2 linked regions of the Styela clava genome follow. The protein of the gene in region 1 interacts with the protein of each later gene in a biochemical or structural test. Links are inferred from orthologs where the notes say so. Each region holds a gene or a part of one and is shown on either strand. Other genes may lie near its edges.

Region 1 (11,003 bases):
TGTAGCGGATTCAGGTTGTGCAACATATTGCTGCACATACTTCTGGAGCACCAAAAAGGTGGATAAAATTTCGCATGATGACCTATAATCCGGTACATAACCTTGTAAATATGCCGGAAATAGCGCCATAAAACCATAGCGAGAGGCGCCGTGGTTCTTTCGTGGCAGGAGGTGGTAATGACTGCGTCTCCTGTTTTGCGCTGTTTTGCGCTCTTTGCGGTGTTTCGCGCTGTATTCAGTAAGTAGTAAGACCCCATATACATGTATATTTCAGCAACAAATGGTAATTATTTTTTTTTTTTCACGATACATCATTTAATAAATGGTGTGATGTGTGATAAATCGTATTCCACTAAGACAATTCTTCTATTTTGAAGACTAGCACAATTTTTTTCCAAATCTCGCTAACAAATAATCAAGGTAGAGTCGAGCCATCCTATTCCATGTCAGATTTCAAAATTTCTGATTTATAGTCTTTCAAATTTTAAATTCTATTTTACGAAGAAAATAATACAAAGCAAAAGAGCAAAGATACAGCATGTATTTTACAATCTTACCTAACAGACCATTCAAATACTCGACACTGCCAGATTGATCCTTCCCATAACCAGTTATATTGATATGTTCTGGTGAGATAAGAAATGCACGATGGCTCAATAATCTTCCACAATCTGCAGTTTCTCCGTGACCAAGTTCAAGTAACAGCTTAGGGCTGCACAGGAATAATTAAGGTATTTATGATGTTGAAATCAGCGAAAACGATGCAGCTTTTGCAACTGATTGATGAGAATTGGAAAAATTGACTAAATATCTTTTGATATAAATAGAGTAATTAAAAAATTCATACAGAATCGTTACTTAAAATGAATAAGCTATTAATTTTCTTCTTGTGCATGAGGGAAGCTGAAAAAAAAAGCCGGTAGGCGCCCAGTATCACTGCTGATACATGAAGCGGCATGCACTTCAGTCAACCGCGCAAAATTGCATCTATAGCGACAGCGTAGTACAATGTGACAGTGACCAGGATACCAAAACTGCCAGTTTATTTTGAGTGCTGTAGCTGCAACCCTCATAGGTATCATCCTTGAGTGAGTGGTATACTGCGGCTAATAATAAATATTGTATGATAAAATTCCCATGACTTCCCCAGTTCATGGATTATCAATAAAAAAACATATGGGCTGTTTTGGAACCTGACACAAAACAACATACTACAACCAGAAACCCTTGAAAGATATTTGACAATAACAATAATGCATAATACCGTAAATCATGGTGCAATCATTTCAATTTGGCACTCGAGAAACAAACTTGGCTGAACAAGACAAAATCGAAACATACTTTCCAGCTTTATCCATTCCATATCGGGTGAATAGAGGAGACAACAATTTACAGTGATAATTGGATAAACCTTGAACTTTAATAGAATCACTTCCTTTCTTGGGCAATTTTGCATCCCAGACGATCGATTTCAACTGAAGTATAGAAAATTAAATCAGATATGTTCAAAATGAATAAAATATTACACTATTAAGTTGCAAATAAGCTGAGTTTTAAACTAAAAAAAAGTTGCCAAACTAAGGGGCTTATACGCACATAACTCCAATCGCACTCAAACAAAATGACATCATGGTCTTTTAATTCTAATAGCTCCAACTCGAACCATGCTAAGTGCTGACGATAAAAGTCCGCTTATATGTAAATTTTCATAAATAAACAGTTTTAGGGCCGTTTTTTCGGGGTTGGCTTAAATGTGAGATCAGCTTATATGCGAGGATATACAGTAAGATATATTTAAAATAAGTTATATTTCTGAATTGAAAATTGTTGATTTTAGAAATAGGTTATACAGTATATCTTACTTTCCTGAATATTTGAAATTTTTCAATTTTGAATAGATTTTATGAAATGTTAAAAATCAATTCTGAAAAATTAACATCTGATGTGTAGACTGAAAACAAGTTCATTAATAATGACCATAGAAAAACCAATAAAAACAATGTTTATTTTAACTCATGTTTGAAATTTCCGAAAATATTACTACAGAATGTGTTCGATAAGTAATATATTAATCATTTTATTATTTTTGAATTCACCCATTCATTTTGTGCAGTGATTCAACAAAGATGAACCCTTTGTTATGCACACAATTCAATAATTAAATTCAAAAATTAGTATATTTAATGGGATTTCCATGTAATATGTCAATAAAGCTTTTCAATTAGATATTATCAATAAATAGGCTTTGTGTAGGATGAAAATCACTAAATGTGACTAAGTTAATTTATTAAAATATATTCATCAAAATTAATATAGTCGATAAGTCACTATTCAAATTCCACCTAGCCTGACTTGACTCACCACTTCTGTGAATGCTTCTTCCCCATCTGTGACCTCTATAATGTTGTGAAGGTCAACTTGTGAATGACTTTGGCCACAGTTTGAACATTCTATGACTCTCTTGTGAGCAGGAAAATAAAGTTTGCTCTAAAAAGAAATGAAAAATGGATTTTTGAATTCTGAAATCACTATAATGTTGAGTATTCACTTAATTGATATAGAAACCATTGTGAGTGAAATATTCTTAGGACAATAAAAGAGACTTTTATCGAGAAATATGACCTCTCAGCTATAAGCATTTTCGAATTTTAATTGAATGATTTTCAACTAAGTTGAAGCAACAGCTCGGTTACAGGCAGGGATGGCCAAAACCGAATAGTTCACTATTTCGAATACATTTTCGAATATGAAATTTCGAATACTTCGAAAATAAAATCCATTAATTGAAGCTTATCTAAATGTATGTAGGAATTTCCATACAATAAGCAATGGAATAACTGCATCTACAAGTTACAACCTAGCTATATTACCAGGCATTTCATATTCGCAGATAATTGCAGTATATATTTTATATACCATGAGTCATGTTAACAGAATTAAATTAATACGGCAATAGTGGTATCGATGATGGATTTGAATATTTGCGCAACACAAAATCATCCTAGTGAAACGCCCATACTTTCAGATACCAGCCATTATCCAAATTATTTGCTAAAAAGCGGGATAAAGTATGAGTTATTTTTCCGGCTTGTGACAATTTTTTCGTGAGTACAAAAATACGAATCAAAAATTAATTATATTCGGGAACTTTACCACACATTTTAAGTCCGAAGATCGCCGTTGTATGTTTGAGTAATAATACTTTTATTATTTTATAAATATGAAAATAGGAATCAAAAACTATTTATAATCGGGTAGTTTACCACACATTCTAAGTCCACAGATCACCGTTGTATTTTGTAAATACGAAAATAGGAATCAAAAATTAATATTAATCGCGAGTTTGCCACACAATTTATGTCCACATAGTTTAGTTATTTTATAAATACGAATCCGAAATTATAATTGGGCAGTTTACAACGTATTTCATGTCCGCTAATACCCGTGGTATTTGGTATTAATACTTTCATTATTTTATCAATATAAAAATAGGAATAAATATTTGATAAAATCGGTCAGTTTACCACACATTTATGTCCACAGATTGTCGATGCAACCATGAGTTACATTGAACAGAATTAAATTAATGACATTTTAAATGCTGGTACCAGTCATGGATTGAATTATATTGCGCAATACAAAATCATCCTGGTAAAAGATTGATACTTTTAGCTATCGTTATCAGAATTATTCGCCAGAAATTATTTTCTAATAAATCGACTTGTTTTTCCAACTTGTGACAATTTATTGGATATCGTAACAATGACTGCTATAAATACCGTATTTCCCCGGCTAATAAGTCCACATGGCAAATAGGACGATGTCTATTTTTAGCACTCCAAAAAGGGGTTTTTCCATATAGGCCTCCAATAAGACGGGTAGAAAAATTGTGTCCCTGTTGTTCAGTTATGCTGATATTATGCGCTAATAATTTTAAATGTTTAGAACCAGATCATGTTAGTTTGGTAGAATCATACTCACAGTATTTACTATTTTTAACAATTGAGCGGTAAATTTAAGTTGTAAAGCGGCAATCATTTTGGACAACCTATTAACCCGAATGTTGAAATAATTTTGGAATGTGATAAGTAATACACTGTACGTCCAAGGGTTATTTCACAGCTGTGTTTTCCTGTTGTGTTCTGCTGAATCGGCAAAACGAAAGGGTCACAAATCACTTTATCTCGGTGGCCTAGAAAAGCCACTTATTAGCCTGGAAATACGGTAATTGTCAATTTTTCGACGTAATGGAAATGGATTTGTAAATTAGAAGCCTCCTAGACGAATGTCGGCAATGTCCACCCACGCAAACGTGCAAATGTGTCGCAACACTATGCGACGTACGGTCGCACAGAATATAAACAATCAAAGTGCCGATTCTAATTCACCGTCATTACAATACGTGAGACAGCGTAAAAAGTCGTTTGAAGATTCCCGTAAAACGAAACACCACGTTTACGGCGAAAAGTGGCTACTATTCGGAATTATTCGAAAATCAGCCGAAAAAGTATTCGAATACTTTGATATTCGAATACATTCGAATATTCGATTCGTTTTGGACAACCCTGGTTACAGGTAATGAAGATCATGAATGTTTTTATAAAATAACAATTAGATTTGATAACTGATATTCATAATTTTGAAATAATTCTGGATGAAATGTAACAAATCCAAGATTTAAATTAAATGGTAAATACAATATATGGAGATTTCAAGTAAATACAGCAAAAATGAATGTCCATAACAAAATTTTAACAGCTGTTCTATGACTAAAAATTTGAAACTAACCTGACATTTTTCATCTGGACAAAATCCAGAATAAACTTTGTAATCCAACGACATTGTCACATATTGATACTGGATATAATTATATAACAATTTACACTAAAAAACATGATTGAGTGATGATATGCTTTCAAAACATGAACGAATCAAAGACTTAGCAGAGAGTAAAATGGAAATTGGCACCGAGAAGTATAGAGACAAGTAACAAGAGACATTAGTTAAAACTAAAGTTGTAATTCAGTATGCAATAAATCATTACAAAAAAGGTTCTATTGAGTTATAATTATAATGTTCCAAAAAGAATCAAAAGTTGAAGCATTACTAAATAAGCCTGCTGAAAAAAGATACTGTGTAGCTCTTAATAAAACTTCCGTAATGATCAATCAGATTTTATTACAATCAACTAGTAAGACGTGAGTCAATATTCATAATGACTTGAGTCTATCCATTGAAAGGACTCAACTTGACTCAGTTATAGAAACCGATTTGACTGTGCAGTGGTTGAATTGACTTATCAGTTCCATGACTCCCGATCTTAAATTTTGAAATTCATTGACTCAAATACACAACTACGTCAAAAATTATGATTATTATTCACTAAAAACAATATTGAATCTTTAATTTATTTGGTCCCCATAGCTTATATCCATAATTAACTTCATAACATATAGTCTCCATAACTTGTATCATTACTTACAACCACCAAATCATTCATTCATTATTTTATTTCGTTTATCTCATAGTTTTGCTGATATTAGAGTATCCAATCCCAACACAAGTCATTATAACTTTATCACCGCCCATCCTCCCCCCTTTTTCATCATGATCAAACGTTTTTGTTTCAAGTTTAAACATTACTTGGAAAAAATCTCTTATGTGTCTTAGCAATTCTATTGTGTAGTCCGTTAAAGAACCAACCATCAATTTAGAAACATCTTGCTCGCAAAGAACCATGAATAAAGCTGCTAGTCCTTGATTTACAGAGTCCACACATCCTCCGTTGAATATTTCTTCGAGCAAATCGTTTGCAGTTTTTGTGCCTAATTCTTCAGGAATAACAGGTTCACCCTGCCCTTTGGGATTTGATGAATTTTCCACGGCTAAAACAACACCTGTTGTGGTTTCCGCGGTTAGTACGATTCCAAATCCAGGAGATTTCCCAGCAGCATTTCCTTTCAAATGATCAGCATAAATATAAATATCAGGCAAATAAGTATTTAACACAGACCTTGATGATTCTATAACACGATTTGGAATTTGTGGAGAAACATTTGATGCAAAAGCAGTACCACGTATCCGTTTTATTTTTCCTTGGTCGAAAAACTGAAGGGGTCTTAATTTTCTTGGATTTGGACATTGAAAAAACACCTCACCTCCCCCTTCAGGGGCAAATCCTCGCTTAATAACTTTGAGTTCCAGGTCATCAAGCACTCCGAACATTCGCATGACTGGTAAGCTTGTCAATCTATAAAAATCAACTGTCGGATCAGATGAATCATTGGTTACTCCACGAAGCGTCGCTTTAACCCTTTCTTTACAAAATGGTGCAAGGAAGAATATAACCTCTAATAAGTAACTGATGGAACGCTGAGGGTTACAATCATGATCTATCACCCCACCTATTAACAATCCAGGCCTAAAGATTAAAGTAGTTCCAGTGACATTGATTTTCGTTGTGGTTCCATTTGTAATTTTTTCCAGAAATCTAAGAAGATTAGCTTCGTATTCATTCAAACCAGGACTCTCGCTGTTGTCTCTGATCGAGGAAATACGAACAGGTTTTCCACTAAGAATTGACAGAACCAATCGTTGTCGCAAGTAATTTGCTCCGACATATTCTAACATTTTAAACCAGTTTAGTGAACAGATTAGAAATGTAAATTCTGAGAATAAAAAAAGAGAAAGGTACCCTATTAACCAAGAATACAATGCAGAACTGACACTGCCATACAGGAGTTGTCATATTATATTACTAGTTAAAAATATTCTTGTCTATCAAAGCAATATATCGCCGGATGAGAACAGAACAGGCCTAAGTCACAATTTTGAGTTTTGAGAAAAACGCAAAAAACAATTTGGAATTTTTTTATTTTCGACTTTCTAGATATTCACACTTAGTAAAAACCTGAGCTCTGAGTATTTTGATGTAGATGTCAATATCTTTGTAATCAATATTTTTTGGCACTTCAGCTTTAATTCCTTCCTGCTTTTTTAACCCCATAATGGACTTTGGCCCATTCTGTTCTCAACAACTTCTGAATTTTTTTGTATGGGATGCAAGGTAAAACAAGGTGACTTAGGCCTACGTTGCACTGAAGAAATTTTTAGGGATGCAAGTTTCGGACATTTCATTTCTGATGTTCATGCCCATCATATTGGAACTTGGGACTATCTTTTTTCAGTATTTTGGGGTTTTGAGCCATGCTCTACAAGGTGGTGGTCTTGAAATTCTCAATTTTCATAATATTAAAAATTTTAGCTGGACTTAGGTCCATTCTGTTCTTAACTTCTACAGTCCTAAGTCCAGCTAAAACTTTTATTATTGAGAAATTCAGGATTTCAAGACCACCACCTTGTAGAGCATGGCTCAAAACCCCAAAATATTGAAAAAAGTGAATTTTGCAAAAATGTGACTTAGGAGGCCCCTTCTGTTCTCATCCGGCGATATGTTGTACAGTATGATATATATAACAGAGGCTTGCTCTCAAGGTCAAAATTGACTAGGTACGGTATAGCTGCATAGCGAGCAACTGATTCATGCGTAAAAAGAGCTTGAAACAGAAACAGTGCAAACTGGCAGAACAAAACCAATATTCTACCCATTCCAACACTCAGACTAGTCATATACACACACACCATCTTTCAAACGATGTAAACAGCTAAAATAACCATTTCGGTTTCTTCATAATCATAATCACATTCCCCACGAACTAAAATGTTGTAGCATACGAGACCCGACACACTGACAAAGAGGAACATAATATGAAAGCCCTTGAAAGACGCTGTCCACTACCGCCACCAGCGTGGGAATTTTAGCCAGGCATGTGTGAGAAAGCAAAGCTACTGCCATCCAAATCGTTATTCTTGGGAGTATCTGGCACTGTGGTCGAAGGTTCTAAGTTGAAATTGTATTTTATAATAGTTTAGGATTAAAATAAGGACCTCTGGGTCTAGACCGTGCGCGAAGAGTTGCGCTGGCATTCCAAAAAAATGGCTGGAAACTCCCCATGATGGGAATGATTTCGGGAGTAGATTAGGAATTTTGAAATCGGGGATTATATTCAACAATTCGGTGGATAAATACGGAAAAAAGTGACCGAACTTCGTTCGTTTTATGATCCGACTACGTCTTTTTATTTTTACTTCTGTTTTCTCTGGATTTATTTTTTTTGCCCTATTTTTCTTCTTTATTTCGTATTTTCTATCTACTTACGTGTACTGCGTGTATTTTCTATCTACTTACGTGTACTGCGTGTCTGCGCTCTGGCCCGTCTTGGTTCCATTTTTTACTCACCTTCTTCGCCTGTCGATCGCAATGCCTTCTGGACCGCAGCATCGATCGGTCTTTCCATCCCATCCTTCGATGGATTTGATTTGTTCTTGAGGACCAGGTTGTGTACCAGGTAAGGGAGTTCAGGATATGCGCGACTCTTGGTGCGCTATCTTGTTTTAATTCCTTCCTTCTTATTTTGTCTTAATCCTATCTTACCTCTGAATTTTATTTTATTTATTAATTTGTTACCTTCTTTTTTTCCTTTTCCTGCTGCATCGCATCCTGCTTTTTCTTTCTTCTATCCCTCTTTGGGGGTTACTGAAGGAGTTCCGCCTTCTTGTCCGCACTTTCCAATTCTTCATATTTTTCAGCCTCTAGGTTTTCTTCTAATCCCTCACTCTTTCTTTTTTTTTTTTTACACCCTCACATGCTGCCAACCGTTTTTCCCTACAGTTTTTTTCTCTGCTGCTGCCATCACAGTCTTTCTTTTCACCCTCATCACAGTACACCTTTTTTCCTTGCTGAATTTGCTTTTTCCCTCTTGGGTTCTTCTCTCACAGCCCCTTCGCCGTTTCTGCTGCCCATTCGGTTTTCTTCTCATCCTCATGTTGCCCACCGTTTTCCCCTACAGTTTCTCTAAGTATCCCTGCGGCTGCTCATCGGGGCTTTTTTCCCTTTCTTTGGGATCCTTATTCTTATCAGTCTTTTTCTTTTCACCCTCCTTCCTGCCCCATCGTTGCTTTCTTTCCCCTTTCTTCGATCCCTGTTTGTTCATTTTCTTTTCACCCTCATGCTGCCCACCGTTTTTCCCTACAGTTTCTCTTCTTTCCGTTTCCCTTTCTTTTCACCATCATGCTGCCCACCGTTTTCCCTACAGTTTCTCTGCTGCTGCTCATTGGGCTTTTTCTTCGATCCCTTTCTGATCCTTTCTTTTCACCCTCTCCTGCGCCCGGCCTTCTTGGTCTTGCTCACCTTCTTCGCCTGTTCGTCTCGTCTTTTTGTCCGCGGCCCTTCGTTGCTCCCTGCCTGCCCTCCTTTATTTCTATACCTCTCTTACTGCCATCCGTATTTTTCCTTCTGTTTCTGTTTTTATTTTCTATTTTGTCGTAGGGCCCTGTTCACTTTCTCTATTTTGTTTTGATCTACCTCATCTATTTTTATTCATTCTGGCTTGGGGACTTGTACCTCCTGCAGGGTTCGAACCCAGCCTTGGTGCTTTACCGTACCTACACGCTTCCTTTGCGCCACAGCTTCTGACGAAGATGTGAGGGATCAAAACCTTAATTAATTAGCAACGTCACGCTTGGCAACCCTCTGCTATTTACTTCGACAATTAACAGGCTGCGTTGATCAAGACACGTGCATTCATAAACCATGGTTTTAACTTCACGTCTCACTGTTGGCATCGTCATTGGGAAATACGGTGACCGTACATTTGAACCCATACATTTGCGCCCGTATATCCGCGGGATCAATCTATATGAGGGTTATAAAATCCATAGGTTAGGGTTAGTATGGGTTCAAATATCCGCAAAAAAAACATTTCCATAGGTGCAATAGTATGCAGGTGCAATTGTCGTGGGTTCAAATTACGGGTTCAAATGTACGTGGGTTCAAATGTGAGCGAACCGGAAATACACTTATCTAGAGCAGGGGTTCTCAAACTTTTGGTGTTGCGGAGCCCTTGAAAAGGTTAACTATTATTCACGGAGCCCCGAAATAAATGTTAAAATTGTTTCTTTCGGATTAATATTCCTGAGCAAGTTAAAAGTACTTTACTCAATTTAAATGCTGAACCTTTTTTGAAACGGTTAATACAAGTCATAAAAAAATCTAAATTTCAAACATAAATTATATATACTAAAGCTGTAAATTTGACACTTGACAAACATGGTCGAATCTTTTCCCTTTTGACATGTTTGGAAGACTTAAAAGGCCGCTAATAATGTGCGCGATTGCATTTTGTTACAATCGCCGATTTTTCCTCAGCATGGCGTGTTTTTGAACCTTTAAACATCTTCACGCCGGTGTTTATTCTCCCTGATTCAAATTTCTTTCTGCATATACATGTATTGTTACACAATGACGACGTTAATGGCTTTTGTGTTCTCGTGGGGAATTATGAGTTCAATGTGAAAAACATGTTACCATATTATAGTCATCGGCGACGAAATGCTAAAAATAATAATTAATAAAGAGATAAATCTGCAACTCAAATTTCTTGATTAAAAAGCGGCATTCTGAAATATTAAAACTAAAACTTAAAATGGAAGATCACACGTTTGGTTTCAGCAGACTCACCTAGGATTGAAAACGCTTTTATAGACATTGCAAATCACAGAATTTGGTGTTATGTTAGGTTTTCATTGTAGTAACTGCGAAATCGAAACACAAGTCAATTGTGCGCGCGATGTAGGCCTACCTTTTTTTCCCTTTTTGAAACTACCGACGGAGCCGCACGCAATCAATTGTGCGCGCAATCCGCGATGTACCTTTTTTCATTCTGAAACTACCGACGGAGCCGAATGCAATAAAATAAATTTCAATTGTTCGTATTTTGCCCAGACATTGTGTTTTTTTAAAGGGCGATATCTTGCTTAAAAATAATCTCAAGTGCGAAAGAACAAATCAAGTTTGACAAATCCCAATATCGCAAAAATACGACTCCAATTTATTGATAGTTGGCAGTTTATCACATATTTTATGTTATTTCAGAATAATATTC
Region 2 (9,501 bases), on another chromosome or scaffold:
CTAATAGACATCTAGTTGTAAAATAAACCATAACAGGAATGGTCAGCATCATACGTATCTATGCTGCAATGGATGACATTTTTTTTACTACTCCTATTTTTAAACATGAATAATTTCAATCTATAAAATAATAATTAATAATAAAAACTAAATTAAAATTTAGGAAATATAAACGACAAAGCACTTTCAAACTTATCGATAAATCTCTACTTTATCAACATCATTCCTTTATTTAGCTCAAAATTAGCTCTATTCATATTACCGGCATAATATAAGACAACAGACAAGTCATTTAAAAACGCAAATATCAAACAATACTATCGTTTACATTTTCACAGATTGTTAAAACTGTCTCTAACCTGAGAAGTAACCGACTTTGTTGATCTGTGATCACGATTTGATTTTACAGAGGACGATGAGCCGATGTCACCAGATGATGCTAAAATTTAAAATGTAAACAAACTGAATATTCAATGCAGCCACTTCCTGTGTGGATCATTTGATTGAGTTAGGTAAATATATATATATATCTTCCCAAATATGATCAACTGGCGGACCACGGTCTGAATCCGGACCTTCCGGGTATTCGATTCGGACCGCGCCTAATTCTTTATTTTGGAACATTGGCCCCACTTTTGGAGTTTCCATTTTTAAAATCACTTTTATAAATTTAAATATATATGAAAAGAACTATAACGCCATAATACACAATCTTGATTAGCTAATAATCATTAGTCGGCCGTGAAAGTGTGTGTTTAAGGATGTCGGAATATAAATTCTGGAAAGACTGGACCCAAATATTTTTATATTTATAAGTTTTATATGCGGATCTTCGGTAAAAATAGTTCAGTAGCCCTGGCCTGCCTACTCTATGATAGGACAATTTATACAAGTGGACTATGGCATTTGATAATGTATCAAAAAATATGATAATAAGAACCCACTGTGCAAAGATAGTTGCTTATGAAGAATAATAGCAGATATTTAATCTCATGCAAATATTTTGGTGAGAAAGACTATAAAACTTGTATGGAAATAATGAATGCAATTCCACAACGACAAAATGAAATTCTTCAATGAATTTTTGCATTGAAGAACTTTAAAAACTCCAAACTTTATTGCTAATATTTAAGTTATATTAATAAGTCCAGAGACAGCACAATAATCAAACTTTTATGAGACAGATGGTTTAATGGAATCCAATATTACTGGTGCTGGGGACCATTGAAACAAGCTTTAATTCTCTCAATTCTAAAAAACATCTTTAATGGTGATTGTATGGTTGAGTTGTCTACATTGTGCTTTCCACTGAATTTGAAACACTAACTTTCCATATGCTGACAAGGTTAGCCTAACCAATTTGAGTATGTTGTAAATTTATATTATACGCTTACACTTATCATTGAATTTGTGCATTCCAAACATCTCTTTCTTCCCATCTACATGTCTATGATGATGCTGATGAACTGCTTCAGATTTTCGCATTTCATGCATCCCTGTAAAAATACGAGGAAATAAGACAAAATGCCCAATTTGACAAGGCCAACATAAAAATACTAGATGAATAATTACAAAATATAAAGAAAAAACATTTCTCAAATAGGTGGAGTGTGCCTAATGATCAGGTTCAAAGCTCATGCTCAACGATAAAAACTCTTGTGCTTCATAACTATAGCAGTATAAAGCCGAATAGCAGCATGATGTTACAGCACTTCGAAATAAAAGATTATCTGTAAAAGGTTCATAAATAATTCAATTCATGATTTTTCAAGAGAATGCAGAGTAGTATAATGCCACACTATGTTTATATACTACAAGAAGAGTCTGTTAGCAGAAAGATCCAACCAAGACCAGAGTCGGTATTTTTGTTATTAGGATTGAATAAAGCAGTTCTAAAAAAAAATTTTTCAAACCCATCTGACAATGTGGTGGTAGCGGTAATTATTGCCTCCTGTGTGAGACTTTAGCTCATACTGTAAAGAAGGCCTAATACTTTCAAAGCACGTCTAACAAACCACAAAAGCAGCTCAGTAGTCTTCCCATTTGTAATAGGTACCCAAGAGATGAGAGCAAATAGGCAAGTAATTTATTCAGTCAATAATAGGAAAAGTCAAAGATTTCATTTCTTCAGATCTATGTAGCATGACTAAAGCAGAATATAAACTTTTTCTTAATTAACTTTCATTTTACTTTGGTAATGCCAGTAATGCCAACCTCAATGAAAAATTCCAGTGGCTTCAGGGACCCCTATGCGAAAGTTTGATTGCGTTTTTCTATATGAAAAGCAAACCCTTACAATGGCAAAACGAAACAATCTTCAAAGTGTAGAAAGGTCAATAATAGTGGCAAGCCTAATGTAATATGTATTTGATTATATTTAACCAATATCTGAATATACATATATTAATAGACTCTCGAATTTAAATGTAAACTTGCAGATTCCCTGGAATTTACTGGAGGTGATGCTGTGGAACCCCAGTTGAAAATCACTCTATTATGTGTCAATGGCAACACTGCACGGTCAGAATACTTGTATTGTGTATGTATGGGTACCGACCAAAGACAGAAATATGTTCACTGGTTTTTAGGTTACAGGCAAAGTTTGATGAGTTTATATTTATGTGGTCATAAACCATTATATAAGTTATGTGTTGTCTGTGTAAATATATTAAGTTCAACTTGGTGTTATTGGATTTATATCAAAGTATCATAACTACACAATATTCAATTTATTATTTTAATGACTTTTAAAAAGAATGCTGAGACACAGTTTGATGGAGAATCTGTGAGAGTACAGAACACCATTCAGGATCGTCAATATAATGCAGTCTTGGACCAGGCACTTGATGTCCATTGAAGTGCATTCTTCATACTGCTGTACTACAGACTGCTGTCTGACTGTTGTCTGAAAAAGATGGTTATGCTGAAAGATAAGAGATTAGGTTGAACAGTATACCGGTACCTTCTCACAGATTCGGTATACCCAAAACATTTAGGCGGCGAGCAATTACTATATTCAGATATTGAATGCCACCGATATGATATCAAGATACTGGGACATTGTACATGGCGGGCAGCCGGAAAGACGACTCATAACAAAATATACCGGTACCGGTACCGGTACAACGCTATATTTACCTCGTTTTTGTACTGCGTTCATGGATAAGGCGTTACTTCTCTGATTTGGAAAGTATCGTTTGATCTTTCGGCGATGACCATCGCATCACAGCTCCGAGAACAAAACAAGTGGCACCATCAACGGTACGCGGACTAGAGACGATTGACAGGGCTTGGCTGAAAGACTGGACCAATGAAAAAAGCTTAGAAGTGAAAGGAGTAAAACAACAGCGTTTTCCGGTTATCCGTTCTTCGTAACGTCTGTTTATTAAAATCATAACTTTGATGATTTTAATTTGTCTATAGAAGTTCTGGATCTGAATATGTTACCCAAAGGGGTGGCTTATGCATAAATATTTGAAATGTAAAAATGAGGCGATGGTTTTATATTTTCACTCCACGAATTGAGTGGTTTCGACTCCGACGATTGTATTGTGACCAGACAGTGTGTACCTACAAATTTTTCTTTTACCTATTATGCTTATGTTTTCCAATAACGTTTACCTCATCTCTATCTCTTCTTAATGCTTGTGTGCGTGTACAATCACAAGCCTTACAATCACAAAAAGAGTTCAAATGGGGAGTAGAGATCTTATCGAGAGGAATTCGGGGAAGGGAGAAAAAGGCGATTTATAAGTCGATCAAGTCAAGTCAAGTTTATTTTTTCCAACCAGTAAAAATCAAAAAACATGCAAAAATATAAAGAAAAAATGATATTCAAATTACTGGGGAAGGGAAGCCGCGGGGAACCAAAACTGGTTATCGAGCTGCAACACCCAAGGTTCTAACACCTAGTTTAACAGATCGGGGAGAAGAGTTTCAACGAATAGATATCATATAAATTTTACTAATTAGCTAACTAATTTCAATTGTTATATATTATTACTAGAAATTACCGTACATCTTACCAATGAGAGTACCCTATAGCCAACAACCTGGCGAGGTGAACGAATGGAGTGTATGCTATGTAAAACTACAAACATTTACTAACTCTGCAGTTCGGGATTTGAGAATGAGTAATATTCGAGGTCATTGCCCAAAATGCTCTCAAAACCGTCAAGCATGCCAACATTGCCTATACACTTGCTTTATGGCATTTTGTGGTTTCTGCGTATGAATGTTTGCGCGTTCTGACCTCATATTTTTCATTTTTGATATTTATCTTATGGCTAAACCATCAGTCGTCACAAATCCAACATATTTATTATGCTCGGACTTTTTTTTTAAATGGCATGTAACAGTAACTGGTTTGATTGCACATACCAAAGAGGTTGTTGTTACTACAGTGATTTTGACGGATGCAAAACTGAGAATGAAAAATTCGACCAAGCAACAATGGATTTTAATAATGGAAGATGTATTTGGCGACTTCGGCAAAGATGGTGATCTTCCATCATCTACTTTTTTGAAAACAAAGAAAATGGGCAAGAAACATGAGCGAAAGTACAGATTGATAAAGGACGATTTTCAATCTGAAAATGTCAAGATCAGCAAACCTACATGCCAACCGTCAACCTTCGCTCATTACCCCAATATTTTCAAAGCTTTATTATGGATCTTATGTTACAACATTTTGTGATAATTACTTAGCCTTCAAAATGGAACATTCAGGACACTCATAAAAAGGATATTCGCGTGGGTCTAGCTCAGACGCCTAAGATCTGAATGGGGAAGATCAGTAATCAGTAGTTTATTTTTTAATACGCTGAAAAAGCACTCACGACATACAAAGTATCATAGGGCCTATGAAGAAATTGCATTTCAGGTTGAAGGGAAACGCAGAAACCCAATACTGGTTATTTAGCATCGGCACCCATTAAAAAAGTCTAGAAACCATAATAAAAAAGAAGAAAAATATGAAAAGACACACTAAGATACCCATTATGAAGCCGATGTGATGAAAAGAAGTATATATAATCCATCTGGTTGTCTGGACCATACGATTCTTTGATAATATAGTTGTATGTATCAAGCCTTTTTATTATAAAGGAATTCAAATGCAATATGGGTAGTGTCGATTTGCTTGATCAAAATATTGCACGCTTTTGCAACTATCATTTGAAATCCCGAAGATGCGTTGATCAAAAGATTTGCGTTGATCATTTGTATCAAATGGTTGAATCTGAGGGACTTCGAGGGAACAGAAATAATCGACTTAGCTGTCGGCATTGAATTGGTCGGTAAATTCATGCGAGAGAAACATAGGAACAATCGATGCTCGAGACAGCAAGATGGAAGCTCCGGAATGTTGGACGTTGCGAAGACTAAAATCATATACTCCAATTTCTACAAATTCGAAACAATTTTGTAACATAAGAAGCAACGCCCGAAACTAGTTTTCGTGTTTTTATGTTTGTTGTTTACTTTTAAGCTTTATTTGTTTACAAAAAAACAGCAGCTAATTAATTAATTGTTATTATTGGTATTCGCATTTCGGCACAGGCACCGTCACATAACTTCTAAATGTTTTTGTATCGTTCACGACTTTCACTCATCGAAATTATTTGCAACATTACAAATAGGCTTCGCCCGTGAAATTTATTTTCTCGTGATCATGTACTCTGTTCATTAATTTATTATGGTATGATTGTCGTGTTTTCACTTGTGTGAGTGTGGGTGAATGAGCACAGGCGCTGGTTACAGCATTCATTATAAACCTTTATATAGGTTTTGCCCATTTTCCCGATTTTTCAGTTGCTTTTGTCTGTGTGTTTTTTTACTTGTGTTGTGGACGAAAGATCGAAATAAAATTGTATTGTATAGGATGGTAAATGCCTCTGTTCTGCAATTGGTGCAAATAGCTGTTGTGGATTCCTGGTTATTAAATCGTATAGATTGCAAACAGCATTCTTTGGAGAAGCCACTGAACCCAAAATTGGGTTAGTAGCTCAATGTGTAATGTTTCTATTCGTTTTACAGAGGAGAAATTGTTTTCCTGGCTTCCATATTCAGGATTACATTAGTTGAAACATTTCTTTATTTCGTTCATAGCAAAACATTAAACAATACAATGAAGAAAAAAATAATGTCAAAAGTAAGCAAAATCTATAAAGAGATTTAGAAGCAGCGAGTGCTATTATTTTTTGTCGACCAGAAAAATACATTTGTCAATATTAAACAGATTACTTTTTTCAGATCAAAAACACCTAAATAAAAAATCAAACACGGAGGTTGATTTGTAAATTTCAGTAATTTGTAGATACTACGTACCGGTATATTATGATTGTGTATACGAAGCGAAAAATAGATGCAAAAATTGTTACTACAAAATCCTCGAACAACCACTAGCTGTCCTGCGAGCCATCAAATATTCTTAGGTATTTCGAATTTGAGCTCTGCAGTTACGGAACGCTTCGAAACGCAAATAAACATTGCACATTCTTAGTTACCAAAACCGATTTTTTCAAGACGGGTCGATGTCATTTCTAGATCAGCGTTTGGTTGCGTTGCTCAAGACTGTAAGAGAAAAATTTAATTATATATTTTACGTTTTTCCTCGGATGAAATCGGAGGTATTAAGCTCGCTTGAATAATAATGAATGCAAGTTCGCGCCGATCACCTTATCGCGGACGTCGACGGGATCGCTCAACTTCTGAAGAGCGTCCCAGGACAAGAACTTACGATCCAAGCGAAACAGATTATTCCGATGACTTCGAACCAGATGCAATAAGCAAAAATGCTACACCACCGCCAAAACGCAGGGGAGGAAATGCTAGAGGAAGAAGACATGATAGTGGTTCTTACTACACAGACCAATCTTCCACTTCACATTTACATTCTTCCGGCAGCAAAAAATCAACTCAAAGTGTAGCTCGTGGTTTGAAAGGTCAGAAAAAATCCAGACCCAGGTATGGCTGGAAATCCAACAATTCGGGTAAGCCGGAATCGATTCGAGCACATAGGGATAATATAACAACCAGAATGTTGTCAGCAAAACAAAGAAAAATAAATGAACTACAAAATGAACTTGTCGAAACTGAACACAGATTAGATGGTATGCTTAAAGAGAACAAACTTTTAAAAACTGTTCAGCACCGACAGGATAAAGCTCTCAAACGATTTCAAGATGTTGAAAGTGACTTGCCCCGACTAATAGCTCAAAATTTTGAGGATCAAAGAGTCTTAAAAACCAGACTTAAAAAGGCACAGGAAGCCGAACGAATCTTAGAAGAAAAACTCCATGAAAATAATGATGAAATGCAGAAAATGGAGAAAACCTTGCGGAAGCTGAAAAAAGTTGTTTATGACAAAAACTTAGGGGAAAGATCAGAACTTGCAAGACAGCTTACAAATACAGAGAATAATTTAACTGTTGCTGAACGGAAAGTCAAAGAGTTGGAGAAAAAATTAGAGTTAACAACGAATAGTTTCTCGAGACAAATCAAATCAGAAAGGCAAAAACACAAAGAAACAAAGGAAAAGTTGGATGCTTTGACTGATGACTATCAAACTGTGCAATCAAGATTAAAAGAAAAAGAAAGAGCATTAAATGTTAGTAATATTTATGCTTTAAGAAATAAAGAGCAATCTGCTATAAAGTCAATTCAATCTACACCCAGGAAACATTTTTTGCTTAATTCAACTTTTACTCAAACTGAAGCACCTCTTCCATTAACATTCCACTCAAATAATGCAACAGTGAAGCCGACACAGATGGGTTTGAGACGAAAAGAGTCTCCTAGTGAGAGAAAAAAAGATAGAACGAAACCAACTGAAAATCACTCGGATTTTCGATCATCTCCTTCAAATTCTTCTCCTGTTCCTACTGCAAATACCATGGGCATTTTGACTTCTAGTCCAACTACAAATGGCTTACATTCAACCACAGGTCATGTTAGCAAAGAGCAAAGTAAAACCACTGACCAACATGCATTTCTCACTTCACACCCTCTATCAAATTCTTCAACACCAACTCACTCAATGGTAGCTGATTCTATTGAATTTGAAAAACCAGCAACCCAGTTTGAACCAAGTTATTATGAGTCTTCATCACTGAGATCAAATGTTAAAGTAGAAGAAGAAAAACAAAACTCAATAAGTGAAATAAAAAAGCAACAAAAACTGGAAGAAGAAAGGAGACGATTAGCAGAAGAGCAAAAAAAGAAAAATGCTTTGTTAGCAAAAATGCGCGAAATTGAGCACGATGAGCCTAATTCTCTTCCTCTTGAAAGCAATAAAAATTCTTCAATTTCACCTGCACCATTGTCATTTGAAACTATCAAAAATCCGCCCATTCCAAGCAAAGTCACAATGCACCCTAAATCAAAGGCTGAACTTGTGAAGTCATTATTGGGAACTGACACTAATGACTCTGATCCAGTTGTGGAAAATCTGCATATGGGATTGCCTTCAAATCCGAAGAAGGTTGAAAAACCTGAAAAGGAGTTGTCATTTGGAGGATATGCTCCTTCTGTTGGAACTACCCAAGCTAGCAGAAAACCTGTCACTATCAACAAGAAGCCAGCCATGATGTCATCTGATTCTGATAATGATGAGCCAATGTTTGACTTAGATAGTGGTACACAAAACAAAAAATCGGATTTATTATCTCAACTTTTTGGAGAGCAAAGCACTGATAAACTTAAAAATGATTCTAATGAATCTTTGAAAGCAAATGGGACAGGAGGAACGACTCCACGTGCTAAACCTGTTCATTCAGGATATCCATGGGAGAAAAATGTTGTAACAACAAACCATGTTAATGGTCATGTTTCAAGTAAAACTAAGACAGGTGTACCTGTTAAAGCTACTCCGTCCATTCATGAAGATGACATTGAGGAATTGGTGTTGTGAGACTTTAAGAATCACTTAGCATTTACAACCTTAAATTTCAACTTTTAAGATTGAGTTGCTTTGAAGCAGCAAAGAAAGCATACATACCAATTTTTTGTATACATTTTTTATCTATAATTCGGAACTATTGTGTAACTAAATAATAAATAAGCTATTTCACTTATCATTCGTTAAACTTTGTTTGTTGGTATGGATATCAACAATGTTCAATACCGGTATTTGCACTGTTACTATTCTGCAATTCATTTTAAATTTAAATTGGTGAATAATGCCCCTAATCATGGAGTACCCAAATCATTGTTTATACCACATTGAGTCCATTTCTCTGACTTAAACTTTCCTGTAAGTTGGTAAATTGTTACCATTATTGACTACAAGCGTTCTGATCTTGTGATTACTACTCCTAATCTTACAAAAATATTGCTGACAAAAATAAATTAATATTGTTTTTGTAAAGTAAAAAGTAATTCAAACAGTAATTCTTAAGCCGTCCAGGTGTGTGTATATATTTTACTGTGACTCTGACTTGCTGTCATGTGTTATGTGGCTTTGACAGCTTTATCAAATTGTTGCAAACCATCATAAATTTT

What was found.
Region 2: the proteins of deubiquitinating protein VCPIP1-like (region 1) and uncharacterized protein LOC120341967 form a complex in vitro, tested with the Homo sapiens proteins (2 studies listed by BioGRID). The link is inferred for Styela clava from reciprocal best matches to the Homo sapiens genes VCPIP1 and WAC.

Annotation. Positions count from the first base shown.
Region 1 is NC_135262.1:5,497,117-5,508,119, forward strand, and holds the start of deubiquitinating protein VCPIP1-like, read right to left. Parts: upstream 4,906-11,003; 5' UTR 4,843-4,905; coding exon 4,789-4,842; intron 2,488-4,788; coding exon 2,362-2,487; intron 1,476-2,361; coding exon 1,342-1,475; intron 713-1,341; coding exon 558-712; intron 1-557. Other genes in the region: RNA 3'-terminal phosphate cyclase-like protein, read right to left, coding at 5,518-6,630. UniProt on the Homo sapiens protein: Deubiquitinating enzyme involved in DNA repair and reassembly of the Golgi apparatus and the endoplasmic reticulum following mitosis. Necessary for VCP-mediated reassembly of Golgi stacks after mitosis.
Region 2 is NC_135252.1:8,106,618-8,116,118, forward strand, and holds the start of uncharacterized protein LOC120341967, read right to left. Parts: upstream 3,310-9,501; 5' UTR 3,161-3,309; coding exon 3,139-3,160; intron 1,497-3,138; coding exon 1,395-1,496; intron 440-1,394; coding exon 360-439; intron 1-359. Other genes in the region: uncharacterized protein LOC120342255, read left to right, coding at 6,653-8,911.